3 linked regions of the Macaca mulatta genome follow. The protein of the gene in region 3 purifies or fractionates together with the protein of the main gene of each other region. This does not show direct contact. Links are inferred from orthologs where the notes say so. Each region holds a gene or a part of one and is shown on either strand. Other genes may lie near its edges. The genes, in order: MTCH2, SLC6A8 and OCIAD1.

Region 1 (4,375 bases), on a different chromosome or scaffold from region 3:
CTGGGATTACAGGCACCTGCCATCATGCCCAGCTAATTTTTGTATTTTTAGTACAGATGGGGTTTCACCATGTTGGTCAGGCTGGTCTTGAACACCTGACCTCAGGTGATCCACCCAACTCGGCCTCCTAAAGTGTTGGGGTTACAGGTGTGAGCCACCGTGCCCGGCCAAACATCTGTATTTCAATATACAGTTTTTAAAAAAATCCTTTCCTATGCACAACTTCACTTAATGCTCATAATAACCCTGAGAGGTAGACAGTAGTGTTAGATTTAGATACAAACACTGGAAATTAAAGAGGCTAAAATGACAAATGGATGCAGTGGAAAAGCCAGGATCCAAATCCAAGTCTTTTCCCTGCGGTACTTCATTCTGCTCCAAGCTCAGATTGGCCAAATGTTGTTTGATAGAACACATGAGCTGGGGCTGAAGGAGCAGGGACAATGCCTTTTTCACTTTTGCCTCTGATAGCCTGTAGACCGGTAGGCACTGAAGTATTTGCTCACTTGTGCAATAAATATTTATTGAGTACCTTGTATGTGCTGGGCACTGAAAACACAACCGTGAACAAAGGCTGTCACGATTCCTGAACTCATGGAGCTTCCACTCCAGTGGAGGAGACATAATTTCAGTGATAATGCTACGACAGGGGACAATGTGGGAGAAAATAAGAGGGAGGTGGCCAGGCACGATGGCTCACTCCTGTAATCCCAGCACTTTGGAAGGCCAAGGTGGGTGAATCACGAGGTCAGGAGTTTGAGACCAGCCCGGCCATTATCGTGAAACCCTGTCTCTACTAAAAAGACAAAAATTAGCCGGGTGTGGTGGCAGATGCCTGTAATCCCAGCTACTAGGGAGGCTGAGGCAGGAGAATTGCTTGAACCCGGGAGGCGAAGGTTGCAGTGAGCTGAGATCACGCCACTACACTCCACCCTGGGTGACAGAGCGAGACTCCGTCTCAAAAAAGAAAAAGAAAAGGGGGAGGTAATTTTAGAATGGTCAGAGAAGGTTTTTCTGAGAAGATAACATTAATTAAACGAATAAATGAATGAAGAGCCACTCGCTAGCGGATTATTTGCTATACTTAAGAGTTTGTCAGCCACTAGACTGTTAACGGCTCTGATGCTGAATATCTTTTGAACCCTATGTTGATGATGCTCAAAAGGCAAGTGCAGAGGTGAAGCATAACGAAGAATCCTTTTCCATTTCTTTTCAGTCCTCTGACTTTGCCTTTGCCGTCAGGGTCACACTCCCCCCTCTGCCACTCCCTTCTGTTTCCGGACACTTGCGGCCTGGACGCGCATGTGCGAGAGAAACCGTCATTCCCGGAGGACGAGCCCCCGGCAGAACGCATGCGCCTGTGTACCGTAAGCCCCGCCCCGACCCCAGCGCCCCCTCGCGAGCGCCTGCCGTTTCTCCGGGCGGGAGGGGGGGCGGGGACTGGGCGGAGAGGCGCGCGCTGGTGCGTGCGTGCGCGCGCGCCGCGGGCGGGCCAGTGAAACCGGCGGCCCTGGCACGTGACCCAGGACCGGCTCACCGGGTCTCTTGGTGGCTCAGTCTGTCTGTCCGTCCGCGGGTGCCATCATGGCGGACGCGGCCAGTCAGGTGCTCCTGGGCTCCGGTCTCACCATCCTGTCCCAGCCGCTTATGTACGTGAAAGTGCTCATCCAGGTATGAGGCGTCGCCGCTCCCTACCCCTCCTGGCGCCCCGTTCGGTCGCTGCTGCTCAGGGCGCCTGAGGATCGGCTCAGCCTTGCGGGCCCTTCATTCTCCCGAGATGCTGCTGCTCCTCCGCTGCCCTTTCCCTCCCCGCAGGGACAGCTTCATCGGTCCCGCGGCCCCTCTTGGGGGCCTCTCCGAGCCCTCGCCCCGCTGCCCAGCGTTGAGGCCCACTCCTCCCTTAGCCAACTGCCACCCTGCCCTGCCCTGCCCTGCCCGGCGGATCCTCTGAACTTTGGTTCTTCTTCTCTGAGGTGGATCCTGGCCGGTTGCCACCAAGGGCTTCCGAACCCTCCCTCTCGCCCCTCCGAAATTCACATTCACCGCTCCTCCCCCCAAAATCTCAGACGCAAGACACGAAATACTCAGTTGAAGACAAATGTGAAGTTAGGTGGGAACCAACATTTTATTTTTTATTCCTTTTTTTTTTCTTTTCTTTTTATGCTACTGTTACTACTGCTTTTCTGTTCCGAGGTTTTCGCACCGGATAGCCAGAGAAACACAAGGAGCTCATTCAGAAGTGTTAATGAAGGGGTTGCTCTGTCAGATTTCGGAAGGATGCATTGAGCGCTTTCCAGCAGCAGCCCATGTGGCTCCTGACAATGAAAATCACATTGGTCAGAGCTGGAAATTAGTGAAGCGGAGTTTTAGCGAGTTTAAACATGGGAGTTAATCTCTAATCTACTGTCAAATAATTCTTATGTGGTATTTTATATTCACATGCAGGTAGGCCAAGTAAGTGATAGACTTAGTGTTTCCAGTTCCTTTCCTGAATATCCCTGTAACGGGCAGGTCATTTTTTTTATATGCTTTTACTGAGAGTTGACATAATTCCCTCATGCACTGTGCCTAGGAATGGAACAGTTTTTAGAACCCCTGTCTTGCCGTTTACTTTTCTATAAAAATTAGGCAAGACGCTAGAGAGGGCCACGTTTCTTATTCTTGAGTTGTTGGGAATCCAGATTATTTCTTGCTGAGTAGACCCGTGTGAATTCAGATTCTGTTCGTTAAACGCTATTGCAAATAAATGATTTGCACCTAGAACAAAGACTGATTAGAATGTACTGTAGGCCGGGCGCGGTGGCTCAAGCCTGTAATCCCAGCACTTTGGGAGGCCGAGACGGGCGGATCACGAGGCCAGGAGATCGAGAGACGATCCCGGCTAACACGGTGAAACCCCGTCTCTACTAAAAAATACAAAAAAACTAGCCGGGCGAGGTGGCGGGCGCCTGTAGTCCCAGCTACTCGGGAGGCTGAGGCAGGAGAACGGCGTAAACCCGGGAGGCGGAGCTTGCAGTGAGCTGAGATCCGGCCACTGCACTCCAGCCTGGGTGACAGAGCAAGACTCGGCGTAAACCCGGGAGGCGGAGCTTGCAGTGAGCTGAGATCCGGCCACTGCACTCCAGCCTGGGTGACAGAGCAAGACTCCGTCTCAAAAAAAAAAAAAAAAAGAATGTACTGTAACATCTAAAACAGAATTGGCACATTTGGGGCTAGATAGCATTTGAGATGACAGCATGTTGCAGTATATCCAGTAAGAACCCTTGGGCCCGGGTACGTTGGCTCATGTCTGTAATCCCAGCACTTTGGGAGGCCGAGGCAGGCGGATCACGAGGTCGATGTTCGAGACCAGCCTAACCGACATGGTGAAACCCCGTCTCTACTAAAAATACAAAATATATCCAGGTGCAGCGGTGCGTGCATGTAATTCCAGCTACTCGGGAAGCTGAGGCAGGAGAATCACTTGAACCCGGGAGGTGGAGGTTGCAGTGAGCCAAGATCATGCCATTGTACTCCGGCCTGGGCGGCAGAGCAAGACTCAGCCTCAGAGAAACAAAAAAAAGAACCCACTACTCAGTACTTCTCTGGGAGATGGGGTTTTCTAGTGATGTTCAGAGCTCTTGCCCCAAAAACTTTGAATACCCTTAATTCTGATTTCACAACATCTTTGTGTTGCCAAGTAGCCCAGGAGTTTTGGTGAAATTCCCAAATGCTCAGTTTTAAAAATAGTTACTTGGGCCGGGCACGGTGGCTCACGCCTGTAAATCCCAACGCTTTGGGAGCCTGAAAGAGGTGGTTCACCTGAGGTCAGGAGTTCAAGACTAGCCTGGCCAACAAAGCACAACCCCCTCTCTACTGAAAATACAAAAATTTAGCTGGGTGTGGTGGTGGGTGCCTATAATCCCAGCTACTCAGGAGGCTGAGGTATGATAATCGCTTGAACCTAGGAGGTGGTGACCTAGATCATGCCACTGAACTACAGCTTGGGTGACAAGAGCAAAATTCTGCCTCCAAAAAATAAATAAGTAACTAAATAAAAATAAAAATGGTTACTTGGTAGCACTATTCCTGTAGCACTATAGACAGGAGTTATTTATTTATTTATTTATTTTTGATACGGAGTTTTGCTCTTGTCACCTAGACTGGCATGCAATGGCACAATCTTGGCTCACTGCAACCTCCGCCTCCCAGGTTCAAGCGACTCTCCAGCCTTAGCCTCCTGAGTAGCTGGGATTACAGGTGCCCGCCACCACACCTGGCTAATTTTTGTATTTTTAGTAGAGACAGGGTTTCACCATGTTGACCAGGCTGGTCTTGAACTTCTGACCTCGGGTGAGATCAGAAGTTGGCCTCCCAAAGTGCTCGGATTACATGC
Region 2 (2,407 bases), on a different chromosome or scaffold from region 3:
AGGAAGCAGGCCCGGTTGAATGTTCACAGCAGGGGAGGGGAGGGTGGGCCAGGCGGGAGCCTTACCTCGGCCATGGTGCCCTTGGCCCTGAGGAGGCAGCCCAGGAGGTGCAGCGGCACACACAGCATGGAGGACAGCGCGAAGGCCCAGCCCATGGCCTCGCCCCACCACGGGTACACGTAGGTGTTGTTGTAGACCAGCGGCTCGTAGTACACAACGTTGAAGATGAAGATGCCCTACGGACCAGAATGCTGCGGTTAATGGGGCCCCCACCCCGCCCTGCCTCGCCCCCCACCCCACCTCCCCTAGCCCTTACCATGCAGACCAGCGGGGTGAAGAAGGACCAGCACCATTTCATCCAGGGGCAAGGTCGGTACCCGATCATACAGGCAATGTCGTCCATGAAGCGGTCCGCTCCTGCGACAGGAGAGGCGGGAGGGCCGAGCTGGAGACCTGCCTTCCCTGCCACCATCCCCCAGCCCAGCCCTCAGCCATGACCTACCATACACCCAGGCCACCACCACGCACTCCCAAAATGCCTGCCAGAGCAGGGTGGTGCCACTGGCCGAGTAGTAGTCAAACAGCTGGAAGACGTACATCCCGCCCTGGGGGACAGAGCCCAGTCAGGGAAGGATGGCGGATGGCCACCAGAGGTCATAGGCAGACCCCCCCACCCCACTCACATCAGTCACCATGGAGAGATCGATGACAAAGCAGAGGGCACAACAGAGGGCCACAGAGATCTCCCTTTGGAAACGGAAGTAGTAGGAGGCCGGGAGGAGGTCGAGGAGGCCGGTGATGAAGCCTTCCACACCTACAAACTGTGGCCAGGGCAGCTCAGGCCGAGCCCCGCACCACCCTCCCACCCCTTTCCTTGCCTGCAGCCCTCACCCTGCCGCCCTCCTGGCTCCCTGTCCCAGAGCTCCATGCAAACCTGGCTGTCGAGACCAAGCAGCAACAGCATGAAGAAGAACAGGGCAGCCCAGAGTGGGGCCACTGGCATCAGTGTGACAGCCCGCGGGTAGGCGATGAAGGCCAGGCCCGGCCCTGTGGGAAAGGTGCAGGCTCTAGACCTTGCAGCTGACGTCCTGCCCTGTGTGCACCCTGAGCCCTGCCTGCAACACTCGCGCCCATGCCCTCTCCTGCCGCAGGAGCTGTGAACCCTGGGTCGTGCAGCAGGGGCTGGGAGGTCCTTTCTCCCTCTGTCAACATTGACAAATCCCAGGACCTGCCCCCGCAGGCCCACAATCTGACAAGTTCCGTTTGAATCCTTGTCACTTTTCAGCATTTATATTGTGTGTTCATGTACATCATGCATCTGGGTGGCAGTTGCTGCTCTGGAGGCGGGGCTGGGGGTAGGGCCCTACCTGACTCTGCCACCTTGGAGATGTGCACACCCTGCTCTGCAGCCATGAAGCCCAGGATGGAGAAGACCACAAAGCCAGCAAAGAAGCTGGTCCCGCTGTTGATGAGAGCCAGGATGATGGCGTCCCTGAGGGGTGGAGGGGCCAGAGTGGATGGGTTAGGCTGCTGGGCAGGGCAGGGCAGGGCAGGGCACCAGTAGTAGGGCGGTGGTGCTTACTTGTAGCAGTTGTTGTTGAAGCGGTTGTAGCTGCCCAGGGCTGTGAGGGCCCCCAGGCCAATGGCGTAAGAAAAGAAAATCTGGGTCCCCGCATCTATCCACACCTAGAGGAGGTACGGTGAGCACAGGCGTGAGGGGCCTGTAGGGCTCCCCTGCAGCACCCTGCTGCAGCCTCCCCACCTCCACCTCACCTGAGGGGACCCCAGCTTGGACCAGTCAGGCTTCAGATAGTAAATGATGCCGTCCAGGGCGCCAGGCAGCAGCACTCCACGCACCAGCAGCACGACCAGGACCACGTAGGGGAATGTAGCAGTGAAGTACACGATCTGGGGGGCCAGGCTGCTCAGTGGGCGCCATGGCACCACCTCCCTCACACCCCCATTCCCGGCGCCTCCGGTCCCCCTTGTGGACAGGTATGTTCAGAGGTCCCCATTCTCCTCGGAGCCATGGCTCCCACCAGAGGAAGCTAGGGGCAAGGCTGGGCCCTGGCAGCCCTGGCAATTGCGGGGGGAAGCTCTCTGGGCACCTTGTCTGCAGGATGCATGTCGTTCGGGAGCAGGTGAGCCTCTGGGAGCTCTCCTCAGTGGGGACAGGAGGCGTGGAGCATGTGGGGAGTGAGGGCTGTGTGCGTGTGTGGGCAGTGCAGGTGTGGGAGGCCCAGACAGGGAGCGGGGTATTGGATCAGGGCCGGGTCCCCTCCTCTTCTGCAGAGAGGTGGGGGCTGAGCAGGTGGAGAGTGGAACTGGGCCAGGCAGAGGCAGGCGAGATGCGGCCGCCACACCATCTGCCCCCTCTTCCCACATGCTGCTCTGGGGACCTTGTCCC
Region 3 (3,317 bases):
CTACTCAGGAGGCTCAGGCAGAAGAATCACTGGAACCTAGCAGGCGGAGGTTCTGGTGAGTCAAGATCGCGCCACTGCGCTCCAGCCTAGGCAACAGAGTGAGACTCTGTCTTAAAAAGAAAAAAAAGAAAGCTTATGGTTGAAAACATTATTTAATGTATAGTTATGTTGCTTAGAAAATTCTAATTATTCACTGGAATCTTACCTTTGAGTTCTAAAAAAGTATCACAAAAATTATTTTTTAAAAAATTAATATTAAAATTATATGCCCAATTTATATGTCTCATTGAAAACATCTTTGAAAAATAGTACTTTTGGTGTGGTATGTGGTATGTAAGACTTTGTAAGTTAAATAGTTGTTCACTGAATGTTAGCAGCTTTTTTTTTTAATGTTCATATGGCCTTTGTTGCTGTTTATAAACTTTACAAACTGTGTTCACTATTTGATCCTGTCAGCCAATATTAGGAGGAACCACTGCATTATATTTACATTTGACCCTATGATAATATGTAGTATTCACATTTTGACTCTCTGGGAGAAATAAAGAATAAATTTTAATTCCCAGGCCAAAATAACAGTTGATACTTTCTTCTGCATTAATGTTGCATCTTTTAGACCAGAATGAAAACAATACATATTCTGATTAAAGGCTATGTTTTATACTTTTCAAGTAATTATTTTCAACTTTTTTTTTTTTTTTTTGGAGACAGATTTTTGCTCTTGTTGCCCAGGCTGGAGTGCAATGCCGCGATCTCGGCTCACTGCAACCTCCTCGTCTCTGGTTCAAGTGGTTCTACTGCCTCACCCTCCTTAGTCTAGGATTACAGGCGTGTGCCATGACACCCAACTAATTTTGTGTTTTTAGTAGAGATGGGGTTTTTTTCATTGGCCAGGCTGGTCTCGAACTCCTGATCTCAGGTGACCCGCCCGCCTCAGCCTCACAAAGTGCTGGGATTATAGGCGTGAGCCATTGTGCCTGGCCTGTTTTCAAGTATTTTTGTTTAAATTTCATAAAATGGTAAAATAAATGATTTTTGAAAATAGCTGGAGTTGTTTTCATAGAGTCTGTGGTTATAGGACTATTTAAGTATATATTGAGTAAAATCTGTACTATGTCAAGTGTTATTCAGTTGTCACTAGTAGAATATCTTTCTCTTTTAATTCTGTATACAGTATGACTAACTCCAGTTTAAAACACTGGTATTTTAATGAGTTTAAATTGTACGGTTATATATTATGATACCTATTTTTCTTCTGGCTGTGGTTTAGTTTTTAAAATCTTTGATGTCCATTTTAATTTTTAGAAATAAAAGCTTAAAAATATAGGCAGAAGTAGATTTCAGTTTGATAATTATCTTGGTGAAAGTATAGTACCTGTGAAATGGTGGTAATAATTTGATTCTTTATACTATTTTGATTGTAGGTAAGGAGCATTTGTAAAATTTAGTTGCTTTAGAGTTATACAAATCCTTTTATTACCATTTATTAACTGTTTGTTGTTTTAGGACCTGATCCCAACCTTGAAGAAAGTCCTAAAAGAAAAAATATTACATATGAGGAATTAAGGAATAAGAACAGAGAGTCATATGAAGTATCTTTAACACAAAAGACTGACCCCTCAGTCAGGCCTATGCATGAAAGAGTGCCAAAAAAAGAAGGTATGATAGTTTAGTCTGAATCACTTTACTGTTTAGGATTGGAAACTAAAACATTACTTTAAAACAGTACTATAAAAAATTAATTAATATGTGATTTAACTCTTCAAGCAGTTAACTAAAGTAAAATATTTTTAAAATAGTACTTTACAGTTATCTGTTCTTCCTCTTTTTTTTTTTTTTTTTTTTTTTTTTGGAGACGGAGTCTTGCTCTTGCTCTGTCCCCAGACTGGAGTGCAGTGGCACGATCTTGGCTCACTGCATCCTCTGCCTCCTGGGTTCAAATAATCCTCCTGCCTCAGCCTCCCAAATAGCTGGGACTACAGGCACCTGCCACCACGCCCAGCTAATTTTTTGTATTTTTAGTAGAGACAGGTTTTCACCATGTTGGCCAGGATGGTCTCGATCTTTTGACCTCATGATCCACCTGCCTCAACCTCTCAAAATGCTGGGATTACAGGCGTGAGCCACTGCACCTGCCAGTTCTTCCATTTTTAAGGTGTTCCAAAAGCCATTTTGTGTTAGAAAATACTGAAGTCAAGACCAGGCGCAGTGTCTCATGACTGAAATCCTAGCACTTTGGGAGGCCAAGTTAGGTGTATCACTTGAGGCCAGGAATTGGAGATCACCATGGCCAGCATGGTTGAAACGCTGTCTCTACTAAAAAAAAAAAAAAAAAAAAAATACAAAAAAAGGTATGGTGGTGCATGCCTGTAATCCTAGCTACTCGGGAGGCTGAGGCAGGAAAACTGCATGAACCCAGGAGGCAGAGGTTGCAGTGACTGACAGTACGCCACTGCGCTCCAACCTGGATGATGGAGAGAGGCTCTGTGTCCAAAAAAAAAGAAAATAATGAACTCCAAATAGTAAGACTTAAGACAGCAAGATTAGTTTTGTAACACAAGGTAGAGATTATACACTCATTTGACTGTTTTTCTCTTATAAAAAATCTCCTTGGAGATCTGATAGTCTTATTTTCCTAATGATACACCTATCACATAAGTTGCTGTAGTGACCTGAGGTTGGCATTGTGCTGTAATACCACTTGTGGCCTAACCACAGAATGATTGAGTAATGAGATTGATTTTCTTTGTACGTTTGGGTTTTTCTCTTGTTTATTTTTTTGTTCTGTGTTTTTTTGTTTGTTTGTTTTTTCTTTTTGAGATGGTTTTATTCTGTCACCCAGGCTGGAGTGCAGTGTTGTAATCATGGCTTACTGCAGCATTGACCTCCTGGGTTCAAGCAGTTCTCCTACCTCAGCTTCCCGAGTAGCTGGGACTACAGGTGTATGCCACCATCCCTGGCTGTTAAAATTTTTTTTTGGTACAGTGGGTTTTTCCCTATGTTGCCAAGGCTGGTCTTAAACTCCTGGGCTCAAGTGAGTCCTTTCACCTTGACCTTCTAGGATGCTGAGATTATAGGTGGGAGCCACTGTGCCTGACTTTTCTGGTATATTTGTGAAATTGAAAGAGTTATATACTATATACACCAGCTTCTAAGGCATTTCTTAAAGAGGAAAAAAGCAAAAAAAACTACTTTGGAAAAATAATTGTGAATTTTTAAATGCTGATTTCTTTTAAGTCTCTTTGAAATAGCTATACATCAGCCAAAGTAAATTTTTTGATATAAGTTTACCTCTAAAGGAAGAGGGCATTTGAATA

What was found.
Region 1: the proteins of OCIAD1 (region 3) and MTCH2 purify together in Homo sapiens (affinity purification with mass spectrometry; 3 studies listed by BioGRID and IntAct, with this or other methods). This does not show direct contact. The link is inferred for Macaca mulatta from reciprocal best matches to the Homo sapiens genes OCIAD1 and MTCH2.
Region 2: the proteins of OCIAD1 (region 3) and SLC6A8 purify together in Homo sapiens (co-immunoprecipitation; 3 studies listed by BioGRID and IntAct, with this or other methods). This does not show direct contact. The link is inferred for Macaca mulatta from reciprocal best matches to the Homo sapiens genes OCIAD1 and SLC6A8.

Annotation. Positions count from the first base shown.
Region 1 is NC_133419.1:17,947,944-17,952,318, forward strand, and holds the start of MTCH2 (mitochondrial carrier homolog 2), read left to right. Parts: upstream 1-1,437; 5' UTR 1,438-1,584; coding exon 1,585-1,671; intron 1,672-4,375. Other genes in the region: AGBL2 (cytosolic carboxypeptidase 2), read left to right, coding at 1,217-1,224. UniProt on the Homo sapiens protein: Protein insertase that mediates insertion of transmembrane proteins into the mitochondrial outer membrane. Catalyzes insertion of proteins with alpha-helical transmembrane regions, such as signal-anchored, tail-anchored and multi-pass membrane proteins.
Region 2 is NC_133426.1:159,927,408-159,929,814, reverse strand, and holds part of SLC6A8 (sodium- and chloride-dependent creatine transporter 1), read right to left. Parts: intron 1,909-2,407; coding exon 1,774-1,908; intron 1,687-1,773; coding exon 1,583-1,686; intron 1,493-1,582; coding exon 1,368-1,492; intron 1,048-1,367; coding exon 935-1,047; intron 822-934; coding exon 684-821; intron 606-683; coding exon 503-605; intron 418-502; coding exon 317-417; intron 237-316; coding exon 66-236; coding exon of another isoform or gene 28-65; intron 1-27. UniProt on the Homo sapiens protein: Creatine:sodium symporter which mediates the uptake of creatine. Plays an important role in supplying creatine to the brain via the blood-brain barrier.
Region 3 is NC_133410.1:48,365,924-48,369,240, forward strand, and holds part of OCIAD1 (OCIA domain-containing protein 1), read left to right. Parts: intron 1-1,506; coding exon 1,507-1,659; intron 1,660-3,317. UniProt on the Homo sapiens protein: Maintains stem cell potency. Increases STAT3 phosphorylation and controls ERK phosphorylation. May act as a scaffold, increasing STAT3 recruitment onto endosomes. Involved in integrin-mediated cancer cell adhesion and colony formation in ovarian cancer.